Sus scrofa: one gene and its partner. The protein of the gene in region 1 interacts with the protein of each later gene in a biochemical or structural test. Links are inferred from orthologs where the notes say so. Each region holds a gene or a part of one and is shown in the gene's direction. Other genes may lie near its edges. The genes, in order: S100A6 and FGFR1OP.

Region 1 (8,533 bases):
GGATCAGAACCAGCCAGGATGCTGCTGCAGATGTCCACAGACCCGTGCCTTCCACTGTGGTCCTGGCCTGAGTCTCCTGGAGGGTGGGGCGAGGCTGAGGGTTTTGGGTGGTGGGAGATGAATGATGGGTCCAATTCAAGAAGTGAGAGATGGGTGTGGGGTCAAAGGTAAGAGGTAGCGGCTTCTTTCTCCTTTCCTTGCTCAAGACTCTACACAGATTTACCTGCAGCCTCCGAGTTCCTGGGGTGTTGGCTCCTTCCTCCCTAAGGGGGAAGTGGTTTTCAAGTCTGAGTCACAGGAGCTCCAACTGCCTTTTCCCTTGGTGGGTGTGGCTGTGCTCATGGACTAGAGGCCCAGACCAAGCCAACTTCTGGGTCCAGCTCTCAGATGACCCTGGAGATATCAGCCCCCACCCCCCCGCCCCCGCCTCATTACCTCATGGCCAGTCTGTATGTACAGTTCTCTGGGCTACGGAATGGGACCAGCTGGACAAGTCCTGTCACCTCTCCCCAGTTTCCTGTTGAGATCTTATCTTCCAGTTGCAGCCCCAGCCTCCTCCAACCCCTGGGCTCTTTGCCCTGATTCCCTCCTCCATAGTGGCATACTCCCTGATACCAGCTGATTCAGGCACCTGGGCCAAGAAGGGTGACCAGGGTGACAACTGCCTGGAAAATGAGGGCCTGAGCTGGAGGGGGCAGGGAGAAAATCCCGACCCCTCATTTGCTCTGCCATCTGCCCCCAGGTCTTCCTTTGGCTTGGCCATTTTGTCACGCCTCTGCCCCGAGACCCCCTTTCCCATGTCTCCTACGCAGGAGAGTGAGCCGTCTCCCTTGGGTGCTGCCGCTCTCCCTGCTCTGGCTGTTCCAAGTTTGCCTTGGGTCTTGTTACCACCTGTCCGCATACACCAGGGTCTGCTGGGTAGATTTCAGTCTCATCACGGGTTCTAGCTGCTGGTCCTCGAGGGAGAGGCTTGGAGGTGGGCTAGCGGCGGAGGGAAGCAGGAGGTCTGGCTTCCCGGGTGGGGTGATCTTCTCCTCTCCCTTCGGCCTCCAGGACTGCACCCGGTGATGGAGACCCCACTCGAGAAGGCTCTGACCACGATGGTCACCACTTTCCATAAATACTCGGGGAGAGAGGGCAGCAAGCTGACTCTGAGTAGGAGGGAGCTGAAGGAGCTGATCAAGAAGGAGCTGTGTCTTGGTGAGGTAGGTGGGTGACAGTCCCCTCTCCTGTATCCCTGAGTCCAAGTGCTCCCGGTGGGCACCGTGGGGGAGGGGAGAGGAGGGAGAAAACAGGAAGCACCAATACCAGGGCCTTCCGGGCATGAGGTGGGTGGGGTGGCAAGAGAGGACACGCATCTGCCCGCAGGGTATGCCAACCTTGGGAAGGACAGGATGGCTAATGGGTACGGACAGAGACCCAACGGAGAGCATGGACTTCTTGGGCCAACACAGCTCTAGACCTCTGTGCTGAGATGAGTCGTGTTCCACTGGGGAGAAGGGCAGCATCTGGATGGTGGCCCTCAGCCCGCGTGAGGCTTTAGAGAAGCTCAAGACCTTTGAAGTTCGGTAGTGGCTCAGCGGGTTAGGGATCTGGTGTTGTCACTGCAGTGGCTTGGGTCACTGATGTGGTACAGGTTCGATCCCTGGCCCAGGAACTGCCACACGCCTTGGGCATGGCCAGCCTCCCCTATAAAACCGGCAAAGATGAAGGAAACTTCCTTGCTGAGGCTGGGCTCTCAGAGATGCAAGTGGAGCCTGTGTGAAGGATGGGGTGGGGGGACGAGGGGGTTCAGGGGTCCAGATCAGCTGTGCACAGCTCAAGGGCAGGGCTCCCACCCGACACCCCCCCACCCCAGGGCTTTGATGGTGCTGACGCAGGAACCAAAAGGATCATTCGGCTAGTTCCAACACAGGCTGGAGGGAGACAGAACTGATTCTAACCAGATGGAGATGGTGGGAGGGAGGCAACTGATGGAGGGGAAGGTCTATGAGATAGTCATCGTATTATTATTTCAGTTAAAACAAAAAAAATCCAAGCTCAGAGACATTATATAACTTGTCTGAGGATACCCAGTTGGCGAGAGGCTGCAATTCCAGGCCAGGCCCGTGTATCTTTAAAAACAGCCTGGGAGGCCTCTGCTGTCACATTCTGAACCCTAGTGGGCCTCCTCGGAGAGAAGCTCCACCAGGTTTTGTCCCTGTGGACGGGGGACTGAAGTAGGTGTGGGTGTCACCGGCTGCCCCTCTGGCCTTCCTGCCAAGCTCTCTGCATCCTGGAGTGAATGAGGGCTGAGGGAGGGGCCGTGGGTCCAGCAGGGTTAATTACAGGGGGACAGAGGCCCTGGGGAGGGTATGGCTAGAACAGGAACCCAGACTGGGGACAAGAATGGCGTCACAGAGAGGTTGTTTCCATCTTCGTAAGTCCCCACGTCCTGTCTCCTGTGGCAAAGCTGGAGCTGGGGGCAGTGAAGAGGAGAGGGCAGGATGTTCTGTATTTTCTTCCTGTCTCCCACCTGCTGCCCCCTGGGGTGGGGGGGCTGTCACCGTGCTCTTGGTGGAGCTGGGCGAGGAGGGCAGGGACCAGAGAGTAAGACTGGGTGCCAGGCACTGGTTCCCTACGGCTGTCCTGCAGGCTCTCCTAGCAGGGAACGGATGCGCTGGCTTCTCGGCACGAACGCACCGCTCCTGGTGGCATGTGCTGTCTGGGTCGATGCTCAAGATCCCCAAGAGGGACAGACTAAGACCTGGATCTTGCTCAGCGCCGCATAGTCACCAAGCCGCTTCTATGAGGTGTTGCATGATATCTAGCTTATTATTTCTTCGGGCGGTAGAAAGTGTGGAGGGGAAGCGGGGCTGCCCTAGACTCCCTCTGGTAATTTTTCCAGGCTCAGGGGTCAGCTCACTGAGCGCCTGCGTGGTGCTGGGTCCTGGGCTGGGTGTGGCCTGGGGGCGGGGGGATTCTGAGGGCCCAGAAGCTGACTCCGCTGGGGCTCAGCCTGAGGCTGGGAGGGGGCAGGGCTGACCTGTGTCTCTACCTGGGCCCTGGAAGAAGATGAAGGAGAGCAGTGTGGACGACCTGATGAAGAGTTTGGATAAGAACAGCGACCAGGAGATCGACTTCAAGGAGTACTCGGTGTTCCTGACCACGCTCTGCATGGCCTACAACGACTTCTTCCTGGAGGACAACCAGTGACGGGGCCCAGGCCCTGGCCTCTGCAGCTCCTATCACACACCCTTCCAGAAGGATGCTGCTTTAGCCTTCCATTCCCGCAGAGGAAATAAAGATTTTCCTTTCCAGGGGTCCGTGGCTGGTTTGGAAGATGTCTTGTCCATCTTGGCTGGGGGTGCGGTGGGCAGGGCAGCGATTCCCCTTCAGTGAGTGGAGAGCTTCTGGGGGCTAGGGTTCTGGGCTCCCTCTCCACTTCCTGTCCTTTGGTGTGGATGTGACTAAGTGTGTCTGGGCTTAGCATGGCCCTCCTGGAAAATGGGGAAGTTGGGCCAGGCTTTTGATGGCTTCCGAGGTGTGCTTCGGCTATGCAGAGAAAGTTAAGGAGAAAGTGCTTAGAGGGTGAGGACACTGGAGGCAGCCGGGATGTGGTTCCTGGGGGCAGTGGTGGACAGGCCAGTCTGACTTGTCACCAGCTCACAGGAGGCCACCCTGAGGACGCTGGTAAGAAAGGGGAGTGTGGCCTTGACCTCCAGGCCAGTCCCCTTTCCCTCTCCTCCGTTTCCCTCTCTGCAACAAGCCCTGCTACCCCGCATGCCACCTCAATCACCTCTAGGCTTTCTGCCTTTCCCACCTCCCCATATCAAAAGCCTTTCTCCAGAGAGGATCTGAGAGGAGTTCCCCCTTGTGCTGCAGCGGAATTGAATCTAACTAGGAACCATGAGGTTGCAGGTTCGATTCCCTGGCCTCACCCCAGTGGGTCAAGGATCTGGTGTTGCCATGAGCTGTAGTGTGGGTCGAGACCCTGCTCGGATCTGGCGTTGCTGTGCCTGTGGCAGAGGCCAGCAGCTACCCGAGGCCCTAAAAAGCAAACAAAACAAAACAAAACCCAAAACCAAAAAACACTGAGGATCTGAGAAACTTTGCATTGCAGGGTAAATAACTAGGGACACAGGGCTTGGCTCTGGCATGTGTGCCCCTGAAGCTGCAGGAGGCTCCGGTGTGCAATTCTGGAATTCGGGGTGGGGGAGGGGGTTGGGGAAGGGAGCAGGATGGTGGTAGGAATTCGTTTTCCGCTGGCGGATGGGTGTTGGAGAAGTCCTTGAAACTGTATTCTGTAGACCACCGGCCGCTCCCCACCCTTCATCTAGGTTTCGCCCTGGGAAGGGGGCACCCTTCTCTCCCTTCTCCACCCACTTCCGGCAGCCCCCCCAGCGTCAGTGACAGCGTCCTGCCCTGGCCTGTCACATCACGATGCTGGGGGGTGGGTGGCTGCAAACTGGGTTTCAGGGGTTAGGAAGGAGCTCGAGGTCACTCGGCTGGCTGCAGGTGGGACCCCCTCCCCCTCGAGGTCCCCCCCACCCCGCGGAGCCCTGAACTGCCCCGGGGCAGGAGGCGTGGAAAGTTTTGGGGCCCTGGTGTTGTGTAACGGCGAGCACAGGGTGGGGCGCGGGGCGGGCCGTGGGCGGTGGGGAGCCGGCCTCCCGGACGCGCCTCTATAAGGCGGGCGGGCCGGCCCCAGAGCCCAGCATCCCCTCGGCCGCTCCCTGCTCCCGTCGCTGCCGCCGTGGTGAGTCCTGGCCAGGGCAGCCCCGGTCCTTCTGAGCCAGCCCGCCCCGGGCTTGGTCCGCGGGCGGTGGATGGCTCGGCATCCAGCCTGGGGCTGCGGGGCTGCCGGGCGGGCGGGGAGAGGCAGGAGAAGCCAGGCTGGCCCAGGGCTAAGGCGTCCGTTGGGCGGCTCCGGGTAGTGGCCCATCTGGGGTGCGGGAGGGTGTGTCCCGGGCGGGCGTGTCAGCGCCGCCGTGTGTGGCCCTGGAAGGCTGTGTGTAGGGCTGGGTGCGCCGTCTCCACCCCCGCCCCGCAACATCCGCCCCAACTTTCCCGCAACCCCTGGAGGAGCGTTCTCAGCTGTGTTCCTGTCTGCTGCTTAGAATCCTTGAGCCACCTCGTCTCTGGTTCCCTGGAGGCCACAGATCTCTAGGCTCTAGAGTCTGCCCTCTTCCTCCCCTTCAAGCCTCGAGCTGTCTCCTGAGGTCACCTGACACTTACTTGGTGGTCCGGGCAGGGTCGTCAAAGGGAGTTGGGGTCGGGGGTGGGTGGTGGTGGGGATGGGGGTGGGTGGGTGGGGGGCAGAGGTCTTGGGGCTTGCGGTGAGTGAGAGGAGTGAGACCTCCGTGTGGCCCAGGACACTGACCAGCCCCTCTGCCCCCAGCCTTGAACTCAGCCTTCAGCCATGGCATGCCCTCTGGATCAGGCTATTGGCCTCCTGGTGGCCATCTTCCACAAGTACTCCGGCCGGGAGGGTGACAAAAACACCCTGAGCAAGAGTGAGCTGAAGGAGCTGATCCAGAAGGAACTCACCATTGGGGCGGTGAGTGAGTCTCCCCTGCCCCCCCCCCCCTTAGAAGCAGGATTGGGAGAAGGCCAGGCGCCAGGTGCCTGTGACTCACACTTACTCACATTCCGGGGACCTAGACCTTACCGGACCATTGGTCCACACCCCTGGGCCCTGAGGGGCTGGGGATATTCCCAGCCTGGTATTCACTCCTCCTGAGTCAGCAGCAGAGAAGTCAAGCCAAGTGAATTCAAGGTGGGCTCAGAGTTTTGGTGACAAGTGAGCACAGAGCCACTTGTCTGAGAGAGGGCTGCCTGGGAGGGGGAAAGGCAGAGAACCCAAGGTCTCATCACCCCTGAGTCCTGGATTTCCCATTTTGACCCGGTAGAAGCTGCAGGATGCTGAAATCGCAAAGCTGATGGATGACCTGGACCGGAACAAGGACCAGGTGGTGAACTTCCAAGAATATGTCACCTTCCTGGGGGCCTTGGCTATGATCTACAACGATGTCCTCCGGGGCTGAACATAAATTGAGACGGTGGAGACACCCTTTAGCTGGCCTGTTGATCTAGTGGTGGGTAACTGTACAATAAATTTTTTTTGTTGTTAAATCTACCCCTGTGTCCTGGCTTCCCTGTGATTTGTTTCCTCCTCTGCTTGCCGCTGCATCAGCCATCAGAGGGTTTTCTCGCAGTCCCCTCTGGGAGTGACTCAGTGACTCACCAGGTCAGGGGAGCTGGTGGGAGGGTCCACAAGATGATGGATGCGCCCTAACAAGGCAGTTACAGCTCCTAAACTGCTTTTATGTGAATCAGAAAAGATGTAAGCTCTGGGCAAAGCCATCTTAAGGAAAGGCTCAAGCGGTCCCCAGCACAGGGCGTTCTGGGGTGGGCTTGGAGAAGGAAATGGTGCTTAAGCCAGGCTGTGATGAGTCCAGAGTGGAACAGAGATAGTCCTAGCTGGGTCCTTGCAGACGACAAAGACAAGTTTTTGCTCTGGGTGTGGTCAAAGGGGAAGGTCCAGCAGGGCTGTGGGGCGGGGCTGGTCCACTCTCTCACTACAGGGAAGTGGGGGCAGAGAAGGCACATCTGGCATGCTCACAGCCTGGCTGGGGACTGCTGTGGATGCTGTACGGTCAAGGTCAATTCTGCTGCCCCTGCCCCGGTTGAAGGTGGGAGGCACACCTTAGGGCCCTTTGTTCTCAGAGTTGTGGTCTGAGAAGCTGGCAGCTGTGTGGATACATGAATCATGAGATGCTCATGAAAGGGGTGGGATGGGGGTCCCCGGGACTGGGCAGCCACAGCCCAGCCTTTCTGTCAATATTGAGCCAGCCCATTCCTAGCGCCTTAGCAGAATGGATCACCCCAGTTATTCCATGGAGCCACTGGTAGATGATGAATTGAAATTATCTGAGTTCATTGTTTGCATTAGTGTTTTCAGGCGGTGGGGGGAAGAAGGGGGTGGCGGGGGAGGAGGGGATGGTGGGGAGGGAGGGGGATCGGGGCAAGAGGGTTTCAGGGCGATGGGGCAGTTGTGGCAATGCTCTCCCATGCAGACCTAGTCTGTGCCAGGCAATTTCCTCTGTAGGTTCTGGGGGCCTCAGACAGAGACCGTTTCTTCCTGTCCCTCTTTTTCACCTCTCCACTTCCCAGCGGGCCCAGATTTGCGGAATTAAATCTTCTTCCTCCATGAGGTGGGGATGAGCAAACAGTCCCAAGAGGGCTGGAAACCTCACCTTTGGTGTCCCTCCTTCTCTAGTGGCCACTCCTTCCCCGCAGGGAGTAGGGACTGGCACAGTTGTGAACCAGGAAGGGACCCAGGATCTGAGCTCCCTGTCTGCACAGTCATGTCCAAGCCTTAGCTCCATGCAATCTCCTCTGGAAAGGTAACTTCTCAGCGGCCAGCATCTTGGGGCTTGGACCGAGCGCCCTCGTGTGGGCAGATAGCAGGACGCCGCGGGGAGCGGGTTGGTTTTCTCCAAACCCCAGGGATGGGCCAACGGTGTAGAGGCCAAGGTTGGTGGAGACTTTCCAACCAAGAGGGAAACGCCACTTGGACGCTCAGGGTATGTCAGCTCCCAGCAACTAACCCCCAAATAAAGCAACTCAATTTCACCTAAGACACACCTACCAGGAACAAGTCAGTAAGAGGAAGGCAGTTTGCAAAGACAAACAGAATCTGAATCGTGCTGCTCCCCTGCCCCACTTGCTTTTGGCAGAGAGGACATTCCTGCAGATGAAGGAGGGCTCCTTTCAAGGGGTGAAGACCCACTCCCGGGGTGGGGGCTGCTCCTGCATTTGCTGGGAGCTCGGGTGGGTGGCCTGGCCCAGGGATGGAAGAGAATCAATAAACCTGCACAGGGCACAGTCCACCTGCTGAGCAAACAGGCGTGTCCTTTATAAAGTGTCTGACTTTCCAGTGGAGGGCAACAGGAACACGGATTTAAAAAATAAAATAAACACTGAAATGTATAGTTAATCTTTAGTTTGCTTTGAGGGTATGTTTGGTGGGGGGGGTGGCAATGGGAGGAAGCAGCATTTACAATGGCATCTGGTGGGTTGCTGGCCTCACAGGGTGGAACTGGGTGTGGTGAGGGGCGCAGACTGGTCATTTTTTAATTGCGTTTGCCTCCAACTGATATAACGTTGGAGATGAAGCCTTTAGCTCAGTCTGTGGAACAGGGGTCTGGGCTTAGAGGGGAGGGAGCCAGTCAGGGGGCTTTACACCCAGTGCCTTTGCCGCTGCTGATCCAGGAGCACTGATTCACTCGCTTGTGGAACTGGCTCCGCTTTCTCCTCTTCCCTAGCTGAGCATAAATAGGCTTTAATCCTGTAACCTAGTCACCCTGACTCCCAGGAAGCTGAAACAGCAGCACCGCTGCCCATCTCTGTAAGCTGGGTTGGGCCCCAGTTGGAGGGTTTTAGGACTGAGTCAGAGCATGTAGCTCTTTGTTCTCTGCCAAGCATATCTGATGTTGTCAAGAATAGTGCCACTGTACACGGCATGGCACTTGTATTTTTACAAGGCACT
Region 2 (8,768 bases), on another chromosome or scaffold:
TAGTTCATTTAGGAAATGTCAGATTGTCGTACTAACACTTCCAGACTGATGATCCTAATGAGAGAATCAGGAGACTGAAATTTTCATTACTTAATTGTATTATTCAAAGAGAAGAAATGTGTGATTTTAAGCGTTGAGAAGCTTCTCTTCTCCTTTTGCTTTGGTTATTTTCCGTCCCACTGTCAGCGAGGAGGCCTCGGGGCCTCAAGACCCCCTCCCACCTCCCTTCTCCTCTTTGCAGGCCGGCTGGTGGCTAGTCTCGTGGCGGAATTTCTTCAGTTTTTTAACCTTGACTTTACCTTGGCTGTTTTTCAACCTGAAACCAGCACGGTAAGAATGATGCCTTTTCCATCTCTCTTTGAAACCGTCTTTGATGCAGATGAGTCCATTGTAAGCGGAACAGTGACAAAATTTGATAACTTAGAGTGTCTTTCATAAAGATTATTTTTACAGTCGATTATCTGTTTCTCAAAACCTGCCTGTGCTGTCCGACAGCTGGCACCAGTGTCCCTGCTTCAGGGGGCTTGACACAGGTGTCGTCGTCGCGTTCACCTGTTCTGACGTTAGTCGACTTGCGCTGCAGACTTTGAATGCAGGGACTCGTCGAGAAAACATGCACTTTTTAAAGATAGACGTTTCCTTGCCGGGAATGCGGGCCTCTTTGGGTTTAGAGATGTCTTTAAGTTCGGGAGAGATTTTTCTTTGATCTGTGAAAATAATGTTGCTGTATTTTGTGCACTGACCCTCTCCCATCTTACCTCTTTCACAGTTTCAGGGTCTGGAAGGTCGAGAGAACATAGCCCGGGATTTAGGTATTATTGAAGCAGAAGGTACTGTGGGTGGACCCTTGTTGTTAGAGGTGATCAGACGCTGTCAGCAGAAAGAAAAAGGGCCAAGCAGCGGGGAGGTAAGTTCAGCCCTTTGCTACCTCTCTGCTCCTCAGTCGTTGCCTCTCTAGGGTGGCCGTGCAGGTCAGTGTGCACGTTCGAGCTGGTTTAAATAAGGAGAGGCTGTTCCTTAAAGACAGAACAGAACATACCCAGAGATTGTATAAATACACATTTTGATGAAAATTGGAGATGTGGTAGCCCTGAGTTGGCTGCTGCACCTGTTCTGGGGACTGACCCTCAGAGTGTGGGGGTCAGAGGCTGGGCTGCGAGGAACCAGCCCCAGCTCCTCCACTAGCCAGCCTTGGCCTTGGCCTCCATGCTGCCCGTCCCAGGTCCTCCTGTAGAGCGGGGGTGGTGGCTTCCCGTGGGTGTCGTGAGGCTTACACACCTGAGTCAGTGCTTGTGAAATGCTGGGAACACTCAGTTGTTGGTCTTTATTTTTATTTCTATTTTTAAGCCTAAAAGGCCTGAATTACAGACTCGTTAACAATTTTTTGAATTTAAAAACTTTTTAAAAACTAGGCTTAAAACTATAAGCTGTTGATTTTGCATAGATTCTAAACATTTTCATACTTGAATTTTTGTTTTCAGGGCTGCAACCACAGTGTGTGGAAGTTCCCAGGCTAGGGGTCGAATCAGAACTACAACTGCCGACCTGCACCACAGCCACATTCATGCCAGATCTGAGCCGTTTCTGCAGTGTACACTGCTTCTCACAGCAGTGCTGGATCCTGTACCCACCGAGTGAGGCCAGGGATCAAACCTGCATCCTCATGGATGCTAGTCCGGTTCGTTACTGCTGAGCCACGACAGGAACTCCATACGTTGGTTTTTTGATTAGCCTTTGTCTGTCTTATTCTCATCCCTTCTGTTTGGAAGTTTTGCTAACGAGATGAGTGGTCTGATTTTTATGTACAAAGATTAGCTTTACATTAAAGATACTGTTTGACAGATGTAGCAGCATCACGACTCTCCCAGAGCCCTGGTTACCTGTGTGCTTTTAGACAGGTTGACAGGTGGGAAGGTGGCACGTGACGGGCTGCCGTCTCTGCTTGGACTCTCCTGTCCGGGTGCATGTTCTGTCCGCATCTTTGAAAATCATTAAAGCGTGAGCAAGTGCCTGTGGCATCTAAGGCAGACCAAGGTGATTCTTGCGGTGGGAAGACGGGAGCAGGTCAGGTGTCCTGGGAGAGCTGCGCGCTCTTCATGACCTGCTCACGCGGGGACACGGACCTCTGAATGGTGGGTGACCACTGCAGAGGAAATAGTGCGTGATGCAGGATTAGTCCCACACCGTTGATGAGACGTAGCTTTCAGCTGAAAGGGGCAGTGGTTGGTTCCGGGTTGCCGTTGTGTGAGCTCCATCTGAATGTGAGTGGGGGAGGCACCAGCAGGGCCTGGAGGACGCGGGCGTGGAGGCCGTGGGTCCTCCTCTCCGTCCCAGCGTCCCTAAGGATGCCAAACCGTTACGCTGGCCGTGTCACCTTACGCCTGGCTGGTTTTCCTCTCGTGATATCTGGGTGTCTTATATGTACACACACATGAACAAGTAGGTTCATGTTTAAAATAGAGGGTTCGCAGGTGTCCAGTTTGGCCCTTCTGTTATTTGTTAGCATTGACCACTTTGAGGAGAAATGTGATTTATAGTGAAATAAAAAATTAGAGGTGTCATCGGCTCGATAAGAAAACTGGCTGTGGATCCGTCCACTGAGGTCAGGCAGGGAAGCTTTCAGCAGAAGCGCTTTGTAAACCCCTTAAACCCAGGTTGCTGCGCCCACGTCTTTTCAGTCTCTGCCGTCACGATTGCTGAGTTAATTTTTAAAGTCAGCGCTTTGTCTGCTCGTCTTCTCTTTAAAATTGCAGGGAGGTTCCTCAGCTTTAAGATTCTGCACGACACGGCACCAACCTCTCTTTCTAGCCTTCGCCTCTCTTTGAATTGTGGAGCCTTCCTGTGTCAGAATGAGCTTACCCTTGAAAGTGGCCTTTGCTTGCTTGCGTTCTCCTTTTTTTTTTTTAGGGCTACACCCAAGGCACATGGAAGTTCCCAGGCTAGGGGTCGAATCCAAGCTACAGCCTCCAGCCTACAGCACAGCCACAGCAACGCCGGATCCCCAACACACTCTGTGAGGCCAGGGATTGAACCTGCGTCTCCGTGGATACTAGTCGGATTCGTTTCCGTTGTGCCACATCGGGAACTCCCTCTCCTTTTTGTCATCTCTTCTCCACCTGAAATGGGACATTGTGTCCCCTGTCCAGCTGTGCAGTGTCACCATCCGTGTTCTCTGGCCTCTGACTGCAGGGGCGTTTTCTCTTGGTCCCCCACCCCTCCTGGCAGCCCTTGGAGTTGAGCCCCTCAGCCCGCTTGGTTGGAAGAGGTAGCTGCTGTGACGAGAGAGGTGCTGGTTGCTTTTTTTTTTTTTTTTTTTTGGAGACAAAACGAAGTGGGGAGCGAGTCCAGCCAGCGAGGTGGGAAGAGGAGCTCTCTGAGACGCAGAGGCCCCGTTGGCGTTGGCGTTGGCGTGGAGGGTCGGGGGAGGAGGGAGCGGGTTAGTCCTGGAAAGGAACCTGGGGCCCAGGCAGATGCGCCCGAGCGGAGTGACGTACTCAGCAGGTACTTAGCATCGGACGTCTGTTTGCTTTGTGGTTTTGCTAAAATTTGAGGAACATCTAATGAAAATATTTATAGGAGGAAATAAAGTAGTGGTTTTAAATGCTCACATTCTTTTGAGGTGGGTTTAGTGTGTTCGTGCTTTATTTTTAACTGTGTTTTAATTTGAACTGTAACCATTTCAGGGGGCTTTCCACCTGTCTGATGTGCATTCTCCACCGAAGTCCCCAGAGGGGAAGGCAGGTGCACACACCCCTCACAGCAAGGTGAGTCGGCCGCGAGGCCTCGGGCTTTGCTCTCTCCCGCGTTGTCACCTGTCGTGTTGTGGGAAGTGCTCCTCTTCCTTCGGTGACGTGTCCGGGTGAATCGCTTCTTTTGCTCGGTTGCTAGCGCTTTGAGTTTGTGTCATGGAAGGAGATAGGCCGTTACCAGCCTCGGCGGAGATGTGGACTCATTTGGTCCTTTGAACTTTTTGTCCTTCAATGAACAAGTCTACTCACTCTTCACTTGTAACTTCCTATAACCTGAGAGTATCAGACTCCAGGACAGAGAATTGTTGTGTTGAATGTTGTAGACAGGTGCCTAGATTTAGCACGATTTTTTATACAGTGAGCTCTTTTGAGTATTTATAAGAAAATCTGTTCTCTGGTTCTGTGTGTGTGTGTGTGTGTGTGTGTGTGTGTGTGTGTGGTTAAAGTTAAGGCCTGATTTCAGGGATTTGGCCTAAAAATTGAGTGAACACTTGCGTTGAAAACCAAGGCTCTACCTGCAGGAATGGGTAGGACGGTGACGGTCAGGCAGGGTGTCCCCTCCTGCGCCTGGTTGAGACGCACCGCGACGGAACCAGCCTGCGCGGAAGGGCGGCCTCGGTCCGGTTGTGTTGCCTGCCTCCCTGACTTCGCCCCGAGCAGCGCTGGGGAGTCCGCCCCAGAGTGGCTCCCGCCACTGGGGTCCTCCCAGATGCGTGTCGTGTCCCTTACCCAGGTGGGGCCTGTTCTGCTAGGGCCCCCTCGCGTTCGGGTGCCTGGGCCTGAGCCCAGTGACAGGTTCCTGTGGTTGGTTGCTGGTTGTTTGGTTGCTCCTTTTCATGTTTTAAATGGAGAAGCCAGAGGAGTGCTGTGCTTTATTTCTGGGCAGGGAAAGAGCCCATCCTGCTGTTGGAAGTTGTTTCTTTTCCCTGAGATCTTCTCAGCCTTTCCTAAGAAGGTTGGTCTGTCTGTGAAGGATTTTGCCCTGTGATGCTCCTTGGAGGCTGGAGCTGCTGTGCAGAGAGAATGAGGTTGTGAGTGAATCTGAGATGCCCTGCAGAGTCAGTACCAGGTGTCAGCTTTGCCTGCTGTGAGGATGCCTGGCTTTAGAGAGATTGGGGTTACTGCATATTCAGGAATGCCCTAGCCGTGCCTGTAGCACTAGGTAGTTGGAAGTTCTCTTATTAGCAAATTACTATTTTTGCTCTTTAGGGCCGCACCCTCGGCACATGGAAGTCCCGGGGCTAGGGGTTTAATTGGAGCTACAGCTGCCGGCCCACACCACAGCCACAGCCATGTAGGATCCAAGCCACACCTGGGACCTACGCCACAGCTCAGAGCAACGCCAGATCCCTGACCCACTGAGCGAAGCCAGGGATCGAGCCCGCATCCTCATGGATACTGGTCGGGTTCTTTTCCACTGAATTCATGGCAGGGACTCCCTTAGCAAACTATTTTTAAAACAAACTAGCTGTGCTAATTTTCCACATATTGTGTATCTTCACAGTGAAATATTAATGTTTGTTTTACGTGTTCCTCTTCTGTTTACATAAAAAAAGTTTCAGTTCTACCATGAGAGTCTTCAGTTTTAAGTCAGGAAATGTTGCTGTAAATACGGGGAAGGACGGGGACTTTTCAGGTGGATTTGTCTCCAGGCGCCCAAGGCTCGGGCCCCCTTCCGGTGGCTTTCAGCACAGCCCGGGCTCTGAGCCAGCGTCACAGGCCTGCGGGCGCAGTGGGCACTTCCTGACAGCAAGGCTCATCTCGGGCTGGGGTGGAATCTGTTTTAAGATAAGGCATTCTTGGAGTTCCCTTGCGGATCAGTGGGTTAAGGATCTGGTGGTGTCACCGCTGTGGTTCGGGTCACTGCTGTGGTGTGGGTTCGCTTCCCGGCCCCAGAGTTTCTGCCTGCCGCAGGCACAGCTAAAACAAAAAGGAAAAAGATACGGTGGGCTTCTGGCAATGAAAACAATTCCCCTGTGGTCCCACAGGGTCTGGCGTTGGCATTCCAGCACCTGCCCCGTCCTTTTCCTGCCAGCTTTCTCCTCTCTCCGAGGCCTTTGCGTAGGCACCTCATCAGTCGGCAGAGCACTCGGGGTTCTGGGGAGCCCTTAGAAGCCCGCTGTGTCCCTCCCGAGGGAGGGACGCTGAAGCCAGGGCCCTTCCTGAAGGAGCCGCTGGGAGCTCAGGGCGGTGCCCTCCGGCGGCCGCTGGAGGGCGCTGGAGGGCGCGGCCGCGGTCTCTGCCTTTACCCACAACCCATTCCTAAGACGCTCTGAGAGGACTGTTTCTTAGCTTGATATGCATTCGTTTGTTTGTAAAGATTTCTGTGTTTGGTAAAATGTCATTTTATTCTCATGCTCAGATACCAAGGTATAAAGGACAAGGTAAGAAGAAGACAAGCGGGCGGAAGTCTGGCGCCAAGGTAACTCGCGGGGCCGCCGCCGCCGCCTCTCCCGGCCGCCGGGCCCGGGCCCAGGCGCGCTGTTCTCGGGGAGGGTCGCTGTCTTGTGTCGACGGTCAGAATGTGCCAGAGTCAGGCAGACACGCAGGAAGCAGGGATTTGATTGCAGTTCTTACCCGGGTGCGTTAAAGCCAGGCACTCGGTCTTACCCTGAGGACTCCCCGGCTTGTGGCAGCAGCAGAAAAAGTTGAAAGTGCTGTGTTTGCCCTTGAACGTCCGTATTCTCACATCACGACCTCGATCTGAGGGCCAGCACGTTAGACGCCTCTGGGGTGAGTTCCGATAGGTGAATCGAAGGGCGGCCCCGCTGCCTTCTGGAGACTCTGTGTCCAGCAGCTCATCGGCCGGGGCGCGTTTGTGAGCCTTGGCCTCGCGCGGGCCCCCAGCGGGCTCAGGGGATGCGCTGGAGGGGAGCCGGCCGCAGGGTCGCCGCCTGCCTGTGCCTTCCTCCCCAGAAGATCGCAGAATCTGACTGCGCCGGGAGATGAGCTGCTCAGGACCCTGAAGCGTCAGAGCTCTCAGAAGCCTTAGAAATCATCAAGACAGTTCTCACGCTTCCTTGGAGTAAGATCGAGTTCTTCAGCATTCAGTGCTTGTTGAGCCTTGGCTTATGTGTAGATTTTTTCAAGTAAGTTGCGGACCTCCAGAATTAAAGGGTTTTGAAAAATCCTATTTGCTGAGTTAGTAGGCTGTAGATTGGTGGTTTCATGGGAAACTCCTGGTCTTAGCTCATGCTATTCTGTATGCACTGCTACATGAGAAGATGTTTTAAGAGGTATTCCAGTGTGGGGGGACAGTCACAGAGTGAAAGCTTCGTGTTAAGTGCTGGGGGCAAGACACATTTAACATGGGGCCTCACTTAGCAGGTTGTGGTCCAATTGGAGAGGTGAGACGTACCTTAAAAATAATTAAGAATATCAACTGGCATGTTTTTTTAATCAATACTTTTAACCAGTTTCTTGGACTTTTTAAAAAGTATATTTCATAGTATTAACATTTTAAAATCTTGTCAGTGTCGTGAGTTTTAAAGAAGTTAGAACGTTTGGAAGAAGTCGATGCGTAGAACAAAAGTTCCACAAAACACCTTTCACTCTTTGTGCCCGAGCCAGCCTTGGGGGCCCAGCCTCTCGGTGGGCTGGGCCTCGTGTGCCCTGAAGAGTCTGCACAGGCCTGATTCTGGGGTGCGGGCTCTGAGTCTGGCCCCTTTTATTTATTGCTGAATTCAGTGTGGTTCATTCTGAGCCACGGTTGTGACCTGTGCTGCAGTTGTGGCAGTATCGGATTCTTTAACTCACGGAGCTGGGCCCGGGATCCAACCCGCACCTCAGCAACCTGAGCTGCTGTAGTCAGATTCTTAACCCACTGCGCCACAGCAGGAAGTCCACTTCAAGTGACGTCTTAATAAATGACAGCTTCTTAGGGCCGCACCCTTGGCATGTGGAGATTCCCAGGCCAGGGGTCACATCGGCGCTACAGCTGCCGGCCTAGGCCACAGCCACAGCCACGAGGGATCCAGGCTGCACCTGCGACCTACACCACAGCTCATGGCAATGCCGGATCCTTAACCCACTGAGCAAAGCCAGGGATCGAACCCGCATTCTCATGGATCGTGATTGGGTTCATTAACTGCTGAGGCACGAAGGGAGCTCCAGTAAATGACATTTCTTAATTTGCTCCTATTCTCGGAGTCTGGGAAAGCCTCGCTTTATGTTGGTGAGGGAATGGTGGCGGTTACATGGTGTGTATGTTTGGGAGGGTGTGTTGCTGCTTCGTTTGTGGTCCCCCGAGGATTTTCTAACTACAGAAACCATCCCCCAAAGAAGAGTCTTATCTTAGGGTTTTCTAGATAGACCAAGCATTATCATTCGAGGACCCCCCCCAGTGAGTGGGTATGTGGGGTGAACACGGTGCCCCGCTTGTGCCTGGCCAGCTGCTCCAGCTCACAGTGGACCCTGTGAGCTGCTGGCTGGAGAGCGTGAGAGCACAGCAGCTGGATGGGGTGGTCTTTAGGCCCATCGTGCTGCCACAGGGGTTCCCAGGGCATCTGGAGCGATCGCAGGGCATTTATACAGTGTGGGATAGAGTTTCTCTAGAAAAACTGAGCTTTTAGCAGGAAGGGCTATGTGTTTTGTGGTTTTCAAATTCCAGTGTTCACTTTCTAGGTAAGTAAATTAAACCTTTAAATACATGTGTGTATTACAATGGTAGTAAAATGACTGCTCAGAATAATTCATTCATAAGTCGTGGGTCAAAACCGGCCTTTGGCAGAGTGGGGGAGGGGAGCCGGGCCGAGGCCTGGGCAGGAGGAGAACTCACACTGCAGATACGGTTGAGCACTTTTGCAAACGGGGATCTTTCTTTGCCTTTGATGATTCTCTGTTATGAACAGTGCAGATGAAGCCTTTAGTTTAGAAAAAAACAAAATTATATTTTCCGAGTTTTTAAGACATTCTAATAATTTTGGTTTTGAGCTAGGAAAATTAGTTATTAGCTAATTTTGTTACTCTAAAAATTATTGAAATCTTGGACATGTAAGTATTCTAGTAGAAAATTAAATG

The links.
Region 2: the proteins of S100A6 (region 1) and FGFR1OP form a complex in vitro, tested with the Homo sapiens proteins (2 studies listed by BioGRID and IntAct, with this or other methods). The link is inferred for Sus scrofa from reciprocal best matches to the Homo sapiens genes S100A6 and CEP43.

What each region holds. Positions count from the first base shown.
Region 1 is NC_010446.5:96,093,569-96,102,101, forward strand, and holds S100A6 (protein S100-A6), read left to right. Parts: upstream 1-4,702; 5' UTR 4,703-4,738; intron 4,739-5,099; 5' UTR 5,100-5,201; exon of another isoform or gene 5,202-5,223; intron 5,224-5,380; 5' UTR 5,381-5,401; coding exon 5,402-5,539; intron 5,540-5,891; coding exon 5,892-6,026; 3' UTR 6,027-6,118; downstream 6,119-8,533. Other genes in the region: S100A5 (protein S100-A5), read left to right, coding at 1,068-1,205, 3,052-3,195. UniProt on the Homo sapiens protein: May function as calcium sensor and modulator, contributing to cellular calcium signaling.
Region 2 is NC_010443.5:2,108,530-2,117,297, reverse strand, and holds part of FGFR1OP (FGFR1 oncogene partner), read left to right. Parts: intron 1-241; coding exon 242-330; intron 331-769; coding exon 770-907; intron 908-3,683; coding exon 3,684-3,764; intron 3,765-6,111; coding exon 6,112-6,171; intron 6,172-8,768. UniProt on the Homo sapiens protein: Required for anchoring microtubules to the centrosomes. Required for ciliation.